Regions from separate parts of the Mus musculus genome. Here regions 2, 3 and 4 are each reported to be linked to region 1. The links are microRNA targets in miRTarBase. Many come from high-throughput screens and were not tested one by one. Region 1 holds a microRNA gene; each other region holds the end of a gene's coding sequence.

Region 1 (3,078 bases):
CTTATGGGTCCTAAGGGGCCTCATGACAAGGAATCTACCCCTGACGGTAGCACCAGGAGATCATGGATAGGATCCCAGGTTCAAGGTCAGGGGCTCAGCCTCACTCAGCACTTCCTCCTGTTCCTAAGGAGCGTCCATAACCTTAAGGTGGGACTGGGGTCCTATTGGAGGAGAACAAACGTACCAGTCCTGTACCCTCACTTAGTTTACCTGGGCACCTCCAACAAAACTGGGCCTCAAAACAAAACAAAACAATCCTGTCCCTGCTTGGTGAGGACTTCTCTGGCCCAGTGAATGCAGAGATGACTTAGGTCAGGACTACTGCCAGGGGCCCCAAGGCCCTGAGGGCCCCAAGCAAGTGAGAGTGAAGGAGAACTCAGTGAGCCAGCAGCCCGCCAAGAGGCTGCCAGTGATGTTGACTGCAGAGGTGCGTTTACCCACAGCCCGCACGAACACAGACCATAAAGGACAATAAAGGCCCGCAGGCCTACCAATCTACCCAGCAGGGATTTGTCCCCATTAACAGCAAAAGGAGGTGGTCCGGACTGTGAAGAGAGCTGGTGACGTGCTAAAACGTGCTAAAACGGTAGGTTATCAGGTTATCGGCGGAGCCACTTATAGAGATTGAAAAACACAACACAAACCTTTTTTTTTCTCCTGGGGAAGAGAAAAGAAAAGAAAGAAATTGGTGTGAAAGTTCCTGCTAGGGGATGATAACATCACTTCCAACCCTGTCAAGGTGAAAACCAGAGGCCAGGCCCTGGCTGCAGACTCCACCCACCAAGGAGCTGCCCCCACTTCCCAGCTTCAGTCCCCAACCAGAGAGCTCTGACAGCATCCAGGAACAAAGAGGAGCAGGGGCCCTCCCTTGCCCACCTTCCCTGTCCTCTCCATTGCTTCCCCTTATAAGATGTCCCTGCAGGTACCAGAGCCAGTGACAGCACACACACAGGACCCTGAGTCCAGAGTTTTACCAGCTCCTCACCAGGCTGGAGCAGAGATCTCCACATGCCTGGGTAACCTGGGCTAACTTGGGCTACCCCCATAGTAAGAAAAGGAAAAGAAAATATTACCCACCCCTCAACTGTCCCATACACCTTAAGCCCTGGTGCTGGGCCCAGGGGACCACATCGTTAGACACGATCTGAGACCTGAGCAGCAAACCTCATCTGGACTTTGATCCACCTGTGTGAGCTGAGAGACACGCATGACCATCTTGCCACCAAGACCGTGCAGGAGCACAAGTAGGAAGAAGGAGATTGGGGGCAGAGGGGGGGACAGGGAAGGGAGAGACAGTGGTGAAGGGGAGGGGGACTGGGTGTGGCCTGGGTCCTCCCTGTCCTGCCCTCAAATCCTTTCACAGCTTCCAGGCTATTCACTCAGGGTGCTCCTGTGTGCCGGGGCTGGCTGCCATAGCTGGTAAATGCAGTTAATAATGGTGGTGTTGTGGGGATGGAGATGGGCCCTGTATGCATGCAATGACCTAGGTATTGGGGTTCAGACTCTACGCCAGCTGCTCATTGTGCTACTGAAGTGTCTGTGGGCACCCGGCCTGGGAGGAGGATGAACAGGGATCTTCTGCACTCCTTAGGGGATCCAGAGTTTGAACTGAATGAGGTGAGACGTCTCCAGAAGGGCTCAAGGAGAGAGTAAGAGGCCGCCTGTAAGGGACCTCAGCCTCCTGGTCATAAAAACATAATCCTGGATAGAGGCAGAGGCCCCTCAAGGAGACCCTGTTCTGGGAGCACTGGTAATGCTCAGCCCTGCCCTGTCTCAGCCCTGTGCCCTGCTCTAGTAACAAAGACCCCATCTCTCAAGGATCCACCCTTTCTGCTAGGAGCTGGGTCCCCTCAGAGGACCTCCAGGAGAGAACGGCTCCTGGAATCCCAGTGGGAGGAGCCCCAGAGTAGGCCCAGGATCGACCTCTGACCTGTCTACCCTTGGCCACAGAGTCAGAGGGTGACCCTTGGCCCAGCCCCAGGGAATGTCCCACCAGGGGTATAGCTCCCCCGCCAAGGAATGATCTCAGGTATGGCCCAGCCCCGGGTATTCCCCTCCAGGAACTGTGGAGAATGGCGAGAAAGCATGCCAGGGGAAAAGAGCGAGCTGAAGACGCGTCCCTAAGCGGCCCAAGGTGCGCGGAGGAGGGTCCGGAGGCCTCACGCGGTTGAAGGGGGTGAAGAAAGGCATCATATAGGAGCTGAATGGCTGTGCAATCAACTCCTGCATGACGCCGTTCCCACCCCCCAACTTCTCACTACACTGGGACCCTCCTCTCCTGAAAAAGCAAGGCAAGAAGCACAGACAACAGGTAGGACAGACTCCCAGGGCTTAGTGTTAGAGGAAGGAAACCAAAGGCCAGCCAGCCCTAGGGCACCTGCAGCACAGTGGAAGCATCTACCCTCCTTGCCCAACCTCACTTCTTATAAACTCTCATGGAGTGACTGGAGCCAATCCAGGGGATGAGGAGGGGGGAGAGGGAGCAGAGGGATGGGAGGGAGAGAGGAGGGGCAAGGGAGCACTGAAGGAGGGGTGGGGAAGCGGAGAGGGAAGGAAGGGTGACTGTGGTCACAGGAGTGTCCTGCTAAGGTCCATCCCGAGTATCCAGTGGGTTCCTCTGCAGACCTAGAAGGGACTCATGGGAACCAGCAGGAGCTTAGACGCCCCAGATGGATCCCCCAAAAAGATGCATGGGTTAAAAGCTACTCAGTGTGGTGAGGGGACAAACTGCAGGTACAGCTAACAACCGCTCCCCAGGTTCTTTGAGTGTCAACTTGAGTTACACTCCTCCATGAATAACTAAAAACCACAAACTGCTTTTGCTTGCCTGTTAGTTTTTTTGTTTGTTTGTTTGTTTTTGAAACAGGATCTGTGTAATCCAGAGTGGATCCCGACTTCTCCATCTTCCTGCCTCAGGCTTCCAAGTGTGGCTATGATTGACAGGCCTCTGTCACCATGGCCAGCTTGAATGGCACATGTGTATCACCTTACATATGAATAAAGTAAAAAAAAAAAATCTTTCCTGACTTGTGCTCTTCTCTTCCTTGTCTGGCACACCCACCAACTGCCAACAAACAC
Region 2 (3,078 bases), not on the chromosome of region 1:
ACCTCCATATCTCCTTGGGAACCACTACTTCTCTAACAAACTCACGTTTACCCCAATTGCTTAGCTGAAAATGCATTCCCTTGCACCATTTAAAAATAAACCTTATTCTGTCAATGTATATTTATTATCTGAATTTAAGTTATTCTCTACTCTACAAAAAAGATGGCTATGAGTACATTTGATTATTTAAAAGAACAGTTGCTTTTAATCAATTAATTTTGGGTAATTTTCAAATAGCTCCTACAACTTTTTATGAAATAGAATTGATGTACAATAGAATACCCACATCTTAATTGTACCTCTATATCAATATGATGATCATATCTCTCACCTCCTGCCTTGATAAAGTACAGTCCCATCACCCCAGAAACTTTAAAGAGAATGCTTTCTTGAGTAGCCACACCCTGACCTATTTCCCAAAGGCAACCATTTAACCATGTGCTTCTTATTGATCTATGGACAGAGAATGGAGCTGAAACATTGCCTGCTTCTTAAGACTGATAGGCTAGCATTAGAAACCACAAGCGCCCCTGCTGCCTGCACGTGGGGAGCATGCTTTCATCCTGCCTGACACGGGGCAGTGAAGAAGACTCTGAGCTTGGGTCACGTGGCAATTCAAGGTGGTTACAAGCCGGGCGTGGTGGCGCACGCCTTTAATCCCAGCAGAGGCAGGCGGATTTCTGAGTTTGAGGCCAGCCTGGTCTACAGAGTGAGTTCCAGGACAGCCAGAACTATACAGAGAAATCCTGCTTCAAGAAAACAAAAAAACAAAAAAACAAAAAACAAAAAACAACAACAAAAAAAGGTAGTTATAAATAGGCCAAGCACAGACTTTTTATGGATTGCTGATTTGTATTCTTCCGATCAGTTTTCTTTATATGAGAAACGGAAACTTCCATTCGTGCTGTGCAATGCTTAATCGCCATTGTTAACTTGGTGGAATTTAGAATTGCCTAGGTGACACATACCTCTGGGCACGAGTGGGAGGGCGTTGCTAGAGAGAGTTTAACTGTGGAAGGAAGACCCCATCCTGAATGTGAGCAGTGGCATTCCCGTGCTGGGGTCAGACTGACAGCTAGCAGAGCATCTACTTCCATCTCTGCTTCTAGGACATGGATGAGTTTGACCAATGGCCTCACACTCCTGCTGCCGTGATGAACTGTAATCTCAAACCATGAACTAAATTAACTCCTTTCTCGATTGTTTTTTTAGGTATTTTGTCTCAAGAGCCTATAAAGTAATGAATGCTTCCCTCCTTGCTGTGCAAAAGAGAGAAAATATTTAGAGTGAATGAAGTTTTTTAAAAAATCTATTTTTAAAAAGCAAAATGAAACAAGAACCTTCTGAACTATGTTAGGTGGTTATTGAGATTGAAGTCGCACATTAGATAAGCTATAGTTTCTGTTATGCACTCTTTTTAAAAACCTTGACCAAAGAGATGCCTCTTGTCTCTTTCCTTCCTTAAAATGTATTATCCCATCATATCCATAGCACACTTGAGTCAGTAGTGATAAACTACATTGTCCTTCTGCTGTGCCTTGGATCTGAACTGTCCTCCTCCAGCTCAGTTTTTTGTTTGGTTTGGGTTGTTTGGTTGTTTGGTTGGTTCATTGGTTGGATTTTATTTTAGTGTTTGTCTGTTTGTTTGTTTGTTTGTTTGTTTTTCAAAACAGTGTTTCTCTGTGTGACCCTGGCTGTCCTAGACTCACTTTGTAGACCAGGCTGGCCTCAGACTCACAGAGATCTGCCTCCAGACAGAGTGCTGGCATTAAAGGCATTCACCACCACACCTGGCATCGGTTTGATTTGAAGGTTTGTTCCCTAGCTAGTGGTAATTTGGGGAAACTGTGAGGTGGGTGTCTGACTGACAGAAGTGGATGAATAGGGCTATCCCTTTGAAGGTTACAGCCTTATCATTATTTGGACATCACTTTCTGCCTCTCTATAATCACAACAGCCTCTATGACAAGCTCTTGTCGCCCTGCTCTGAGCTGTGCTGCCCTTAGCTACCCTGCTGTGATGGACCAAATCCCTGAGCCCAAGTGACTCTTCCCTCCCCACACTTGTTTCAGTTACCTGGCAACAGCAAGGTAGCCCAGCCCACTATAAAGGGGGCTGCTTGGCCCTTCCTCTCTCTCTTTAAGCCCTCACCTTTCTTACTCTCATCTCTAGCCCTCTTTCTCTCACTCCCTTCCCCCTCTCTCCATGTGGCCATGGCCAGCCTCTCTCAATAAGCATTATTGTCATAGCAATGCAAAGGCAACCACTGCATCCTCCAAGAAGGATGAGAAAAGCACCTTGAGGTCTCTGTGCTCTGCAATTTTAGCGACCATGAGGAAGCACGGGTTGATCATATGCCTAAACAACACAACTCCACAATACAACAGCAAAACTGACGGCCAACTGGGCAGTCCCTGGTTAGCCCTAACCAGCACACTCTCATCTTAGACAGTCATTTTCTTCTAACTGCAGTCCATGCTTCCTGACAGCCGACGGGGTCAGAGCTCCGTTTGGGGGTATATCTCTACATATTTGGGGGCCAGCTCTCTAATGAGGTTCACGTAGTCACTTTTCTCCGCACATGCCCTGCACTCTTCCCCCCATCTCTGAAGGATCTGCTTTAGCTCTGCCACTCTCATCTTCCACAGGTCCACCGACGCCAAGTCCAGCTTCTTCCCTAAATGCCAAAAAAGAACACACAGTTGAATGACAAACCCAAAATCTCATAAAACTCCATTCCCCTTCAGTGTGAGACAACTCCCTTTCCCATGGGGACCAAGACATACCCAATGAGAATGTGATATCACCAGTCAGCCTGCACCCTGGGTTCTCAGTGCTTAAAGGCTACCAACCATAGACCAACAATATTCAGGGATGAAAATGCCAAATCTGTGTTAAGCATAGACAGAGGTTTTTCTTTTTTCTTTATCTTTTTGTCATAAACCACTTAACAACACAGTATAACAACCATTTGCTGGCTGGCAAGATGGCTGGCTCAGTGGGCGAAGGCACTTGCTACCAAGCCCAAGGATTCTTAGTTGAATCTTCAGTGATTCCACACACTGGAAAGAAGGGACT
Region 3 (3,078 bases), not on the chromosome of region 1:
CACAGTGAGTTCCAGGACAGCCAGGGCTACACATTGAGACCCTGTCATAAAAACAAAACAAAGATCAATGCTGACACTGAGAAACCATACCACTGATGAATACAAGAGACTCGAAGATCAGTAAGTCATAGATAATGCAGTTAGTGCCACGTTAAGACAGGAACACTGTCCTTTCTGAGTTTGCTGGAGTCCTCTTAAAATGCCTGGTAGATTTACAAAAGGAAGAGAAAATATGCTGAGAAATATTAGCATATTAGAAATTATTTTCAAGAGGCAGATGAAGGGACAATATTCTTCAACTGTTTTTGATTAACAACTGTTCCTGCGACCTCAAAAGCAAATGACATAACATTTCTGATTTTACTTAATGATTACAAGCATCACTAAGCCCTGTCATTAAAATATGGCCAGAAATGAAAAAAGGAAAAGAGTAGCATCCAGAGCCACGGAGGAAGAAAGAAAGTCGATGTTTCAATCCAGATGACACATTAGGTGTTTTTCACAGTATCTGAAGGGCATTTATCCCTGACTGCACAGCTGTCAGTTAGGAAGAGTGTAGGGAAGGAACGGCAAAGAGACCGTTCATAGTTAACATCACAGTTTAGTCTCTCCTGATACAAAGGGACCGAGTTACATCCTAGGAACCTATCAGCAGAACCTGTAAAAACCTCCACATAAAGCAGTTCTCACAAGATTTATGGGAAACCTGCAACGATGCTGCAGAAGAGAAAGAAAAAGATATTTTCTACCTAAGATCTGGTTTGCTACAGTAAACAAATGCACCTCTAACAAAGACCTTTCCAAGCCTTTTAGACTTTGTAGTATTATTATGGAGGAAGTGTGCACAGCACCATGTACACGTGGAAGTCATAAGAAAACTCTGGAGTCAGTTTTCTTCCTCTACCTGGACACACGTTCCTTCTGGGGATTTAACTCAGGCTGGTAAGCCTGTGTAACAAGTGCTTTTACCTGCTGAGACATCTTGTTGGCTTGTCTCCAAAAGTTAATAGAATAAACGAAGCTACATGTTTGCTATAATGTTGCCATTAAGAAACATTTTTAACAATTGAAGACACTGGGAGCCCAAGAAAATAATTTGCAAAAAAACACAATGTACCTGTTATTCTAGAATAACTGACTCCCAAATGAACATATGACAGAAATATAACATTCCCTCTTAAGAGTTGCTCCTTTAGTGAGGTAATTATGTAGTAGATAGTTCTAGAACAGTAGCACTTTTATGGGATATGGACCAGATGGGGGCAAGTTCATGTACCTCAAGAAAATCCAAATCTCCATGACGTGAGAGGCAACAGAGTTTAGTAAAAGAGGCTGGAGCACTGCCAACCACCCCAGGACAATTTTATACCCAGTCTGAGGCCTCTCTCTACTGACTCCTCCACCTGCTTCCAGCCACGAAGTTTCCTAACAGGGGACTGCTGCTTAGTGGCTGACTGGTTTACAGCCATTGTCACCAAGACACATTCCATCACCTGATCTGCCAGCCTCTGCTATCCCTCAGAGGTGAGCAGGACAAATACCAAAAGTCACATCAAGTAACCCAGAAAGGCAATTCTTAAGTTACTGATAAGCTGGGGTGCTTCAACATAAACTGTGATGTCAGAGTAAGCGCCAACAAACCTGGCACCTCAGGAGACTAAGTCAAGAGGTTCGGGAGTTTTAGGCTAGCCTGAGCTACATAATGAGACTCGGTTGCCAAAACAAACAAACAAACAAACAAACAAAACTAACAATAATTAAACTCTGTGAAGTAGGCACTTTTTAAAAAGGGGACATTTATGCGAGCATTTCAACAAGTCAAGAAAGATAAAGAGCCAGGAAGAAAGGTTTACATTAACTGCTTGCATTTTATAAAAATAGAATGTGACACACAACTCTAGAGACTAAAGTTGGGGGTTCAAGAGTTAGAAACTGGCATGGGCTAAACAGGATCTTCTCTCAAACAAATGAGATATTTTCAAAGACAAGGCCTCACTGTGTCACCCAGATTGCCTGGACTTCACTGCATCGTCTGGACAGGCTCCAAGCTCAAGCTCCCCTGGCCGCAGCCTCGAAAGTCCCCATATTTGCCACCATGCCCAGCCTCAACATCCCTTTCAGTCCACTGAGATGCGTTCCTCAATGTATGCTGAGTGCCCACCCAGGCACGATGGTGCCCGCCTATAATCTTAGAATCTGAGAGATGAGGAAGAAGGTCATGTTTCAGGCTAGCCTGGGCTACGTGGTGACACTGTGCCTCAATGAAAACAACGAAACAGCTCAGGTTGTGCAGAAGAATTAAGGCCGTGTCTTTATGCATGACAAAGGAACGCGTGCGCTGACTAAGGAGGTCACTGAAGAGTGACGTCAGAGCTTATCTGAGGATATGACACTTGACAATTATGGCTTTATATATAAAACGTCCTCTCAACTACCTCTTCGTTTTAGCTATGTGGGTTTCAAAGAGCCCTCTTGATTTCAAATTTAAGAAAACATTTCATCATTTTTAACAAAATGTGACCCGGAACCATTAGGGTAAACAATGACTATGAAGTATGTGCCATTCTCCCTGTATAAAAAAAGAGGACTCACAAGTATCTGAAATGCAGTTAGAAGTGGACAGTGTCCTTTGGAAATCGCCAGAAGAAAGAAGACTCAATTTTGAGGTCTTGCTGCCTAAAAATTTCACTATGATTTGAATTTAAAAAATAAGAAGTATTTTTTTTTGTATGTGAGGTTGTTTTGTTTTGTTTTGTTTTGTTTAAAAGAGCCTGGCTTCTTCTTTCAGCCTGCAAGGCTTGTTTCGAATCTTTTCCTCTCGGCCACAGTCACACGGTGACCCCTGTGCAGCCCCCACCGGCACATCCTGTCCCCCGGCCTGCAGGTTTTCCTTGGCTCCTCGGGGCTACGTCTTGTTATACCAATTCATGGAGCGCTTCACCGCTTTTACCCAGTTTTCCATATTCACCTCGTATTCCTGCCACTTCTTCTGAGGCTTGAAAACCATCTCGCTTTGCCTCAGCTTCTGGAGCTCTTCCTTGTCCGCCCAAAATCCTACAGATGAAAAAAAAAATCTCA
Region 4 (3,078 bases), not on the chromosome of region 1:
CCATTAGCCACTTTTTCTGGCCGGTAAGTGAAAAAACAGTCTTGCAGACTAACTGTACTGTAGAAACACAGCAGGCACTATAAGAGACACATCATTCAGTTCCTCCAGAGGGCTCAGTTCAGTTCCCAGGACCTACATGGTCACAATTGTCCCTAAATCTAGTTCCAAGGGATCCAGCATCTTCTGGCCTCCGTGGGCACCAGGCATGCACGCAGATGCAGGGGAGACACTCATAAATCTTAAAGCAACCAAAACCAAGACAAACAAACAGGGCAGTGTGGTAAGAGTTACTTATCTATCTTGCACAAAATTCCAGCTGCTCTATTTCAAGACTAGAGCAGGTGGGGTACAGTGATATATGCCTTTAATCCAAGCACATCTCCCAGATTCACAAGGTGAGAGCTTATAACAAAACAAAAACTAGAGCAGAAAAGTGTAATGGGTTCCAATGCCTTCTCCCAGGTGGCTTTCCACGAAGCCAGCAGTCCAGGCAGGGACTGACACTGGAAGTGTCAGATACTCACTAACCCAGGAGAGGAAACTGGTTATTACTGATGAAGATGTTGGTATTTTGCCCTACATAACTCCATTTTTTCCTGTTTGTTTTCTAAGTTACTATGTGTGTGCATATGTGCACACCCCGAGGCCAGGCAAGGATGCTAGATCTCCTGGAGGTGGGGATACAGGTGCTTGTGAGGCACCCAATGTGGGTACTAGGGACGGAGCTGAAAAAGCAACAGGTACTTCTAACCACTGTCTCTTAGAGCATAGGCTGAATATGTAGCTGAAGATGACCTTCAACTTCTGACTCTCCCTGCTCCACCTCTCACGCGCTGCTATTATAGGGGTGTGCCTCCACAAGTGGCTGCTATTATAGGGGTATGCCTCCATGTGTGGCTTTTCTTCCCCACCCCCCCATCAAAAGCAGCCTTGAAGTGAACTCTGAAGACACAAAACAAAGCTGAGCCACCGATCATCAGCTTTATTCCAGGAGCGTGGTCAACTCTTTGACTTCCCTGCTCAAAAGAACAAGCAGTCCCCAAGTTCATAAGCAAGGTCAAACTTGGGATTCTTTCTGTGCAGCATACAGAAGCCCAGACAGGAGTACACACACCTAACACAGAAGCCCAAACAGGAAAACACACACACACCCCACACAGAAACTCAGACAGGAATGCACACACACCACACAGAAGCCTATACAGGAGTGCATACACACACCACAGAAGGAGCCCAAACAGTAGTGCATACACACCACACACAGAAGCCCAACCCTAGACTACATAGCTAGTTCTAGCCCAGCCATGGTTACATGGTGAGATCCTGTCTCAATAAAATAAGTAAAAAGATTAGATGTGTTGAGGCTCTAGCTCAGTAGTAGTAAAGTGTGTCCTAACACACATGAGGCCCTGGGTTTGAGGCACAGCATCCTCCTTGCAGCCCCTCAAAAAAATTATTAAGATTTTAAAACTAAGAAAAACAACAGCCCTCGTGGCTCACCTTATGGAGAGCTTCAGTGCAGAGAACTGGCCTGGCATGAGAGACCTTGGATTCTACCCCTAATGCCACGCAGAAAATTATACCAATGAGATTTAAAACTTGCCCACCACCAAGCATGATGGCCAACACCAGCAATCCCAACACTGGGAGGCTAAGGCAGGAGGATTGCAAGTTTGAGGCCAGCCTGGGCTAACTGAGCAAAACTCTGTCTTTAAAAAAAAAAAAAAAAGCTAAGCATGGTGATGCATGCCTTTTAATCCCAGCACTTGGGAGACAGAGGCAGGCGGATTTCTGAGTTCGAGGCCAGCCTGGTCTACAAAGTGAGTTCCAGGACAGCCAGGGCTATACAGAGAAACTCTGTCTCGAAAAGCCAAAAAAAAAAAAAAAGGTTTTAACAAAGCTGCTTTCCTCCAGCTGTGCTACAGGATGTCTATAGGGGCCTATAGGGACAATAGATTTGATGTACTGGACCTCAAGATCTCACCAAGGCTCAGACTGTTAGTTTTAAAAGGCTTTAGCCCTAAGGCACACACCTTAGATCCCAGCACTTGGGAGGCAGAGGCAGGAAGATCTCTGTGAGTTCAAGACCAACCTGGTCTACAAAGAGAGTTCTAGGACAGTCAGAGTTACACAGAGAAACCCTGTCTACAAAAACAAAAAAAAGAAAAAAGAAAGAAAAGTATTAAAGATTTTAGCCTTGCTATAGCTCAGGAGAAAAAGCACAGGTTGTGGATGAAAAACCAAATTACTGTTATGTGCTTGGCTTTGATAGGCTGAAAGAAATGGCCCAGCCATATAAATGGTGGCATGGAATGACAGCTTGGTTAAAATTAGTTCTCACTCCATGTATGGATCCTTCAACTTCTCTTCAGAGAGAGAAGTCCTCAGACCTTGGCTAAGAATGGCTCCTGCATCCACCCCATCAGTCAGGCAGCCACACACACCTTAAAGCCAGAGCTGGCCCATCAAGCTTGAAAGCAAGAGACAAGAGAATAAGGTGTCAGAATATTTCTAGTAAGACTGGAAATACAGAAGGTTAACTAAGGTCAATTTAAACAGTCTCAGAAGAAAGAAACCAGAGGTCTCATGAAAGGAAAAAAAACAAAAAAACAAAAAGAAAACAAAAACAAAAGGCTCACAGCATCCACGAATGAGCACATAAAGGGAACAGGGAGTGGATCAGATGCACGGAGCTCCTCCACGCTGAGGTGGGTATCTGACCACAAGAACTGTTCGTCACCGTGTTCCCGAAGCACTTCTCCATGAAGGTGCACCTTCTTCTCCCAGACGTAAGTGAGACAAGAGCCCAGCCCAACCTCAGGGATCCAACAGTCCACGGCCATCTCCTTAGCTGTCCCTCTTCCCGAGGCTCCACTCTGGCACGGTGCTCCCATTTTACCGCCAGGCTCGATTGAGGAGTTTCACCTGTGCCAGCCTCTTTGTGATCATGGTGGCAAAAACCAGGCCAAAAAGGACACTGCTGATGAGCACATAGTCGTAGTCATCTTTCAGGACATCAAACTGCTTGGACGGGTAAACTCGAGTTTGGTAAATATCCAAACCGTAGGCCACAACCTA

The links. Region 1 holds the annotated microRNA mmu-miR-665-3p (ACCAGGAGGCUGAGGUCCCU, at 1,667-1,686, opposite strand). A microRNA usually pairs through its seed, bases 2 to 8, with sites in the 3' UTR of a target mRNA and lowers its output. Matches are read on the target gene's strand: a 7mer-m8 pairs with bases 2 to 8, a 7mer-A1 pairs with bases 2 to 7 and ends in A, and an 8mer does both.
Region 2: the mRNA of Cdnf is a reported target of mmu-miR-665-3p. Seed matches in the 3' UTR shown: 7mer-A1 at 716-722.
Region 3: the mRNA of Gk5 is a reported target of mmu-miR-665-3p. Seed matches in the 3' UTR shown: 7mer-A1 at 11-17.
Region 4: miRTarBase lists Emc1 as a target of mmu-miR-665-3p. Seed matches in the 3' UTR shown: 7mer-A1 at 1,827-1,833, 8mer at 987-994 and 7mer-m8 at 529-535.

What each region holds. Positions count from the first base shown.
Region 1 is chr12:109,584,976-109,588,053 of GRCm38, reverse strand. Mir665 (microRNA 665) reads right to left here and starts at 1,740; the gene lies at 1,647-1,740. Mir337 (microRNA 337) reads right to left here and starts at 2,265; the gene lies at 2,169-2,265. It overlaps Mir3544 (microRNA 3544), which reads left to right and starts at 2,181; the gene lies at 2,181-2,241. It overlaps Mir540 (microRNA 540), which reads right to left and starts at 1,974; the gene lies at 1,908-1,974. It also overlaps Mir3070a and a transcript of Rtl1 not described here.
Region 2 is chr2:3,523,410-3,526,487 of GRCm38, reverse strand. Cdnf (cerebral dopamine neurotrophic factor) reads right to left here. Exons shown (of 4, transcript NM_177647.4): 4 at 112-2,677. The coding sequence ends at 2,499. Among named protein-coding and RNA genes, the nearest start is that of Cdnf, 12 kb to the right of the region's middle.
Region 3 is chr9:96,178,897-96,181,974 of GRCm38, reverse strand. It overlaps Gk5 (glycerol kinase 5 (putative)), which reads right to left. Exons shown (of 16, transcript NM_001368879.1): 16 at 1-3,054. The coding sequence ends at 2,906. Among named protein-coding and RNA genes, the nearest start is that of Tfdp2, 16 kb to the left of the region's middle.
Region 4 is chr4:139,375,343-139,378,420 of GRCm38, reverse strand. Emc1 (ER membrane protein complex subunit 1) reads right to left here. Exons shown (of 24, transcript NM_146157.4): 24 at 1-3,075. The coding sequence ends at 2,896. Among named protein-coding and RNA genes, the nearest start is that of Ubr4, 3.8 kb to the left of the region's middle.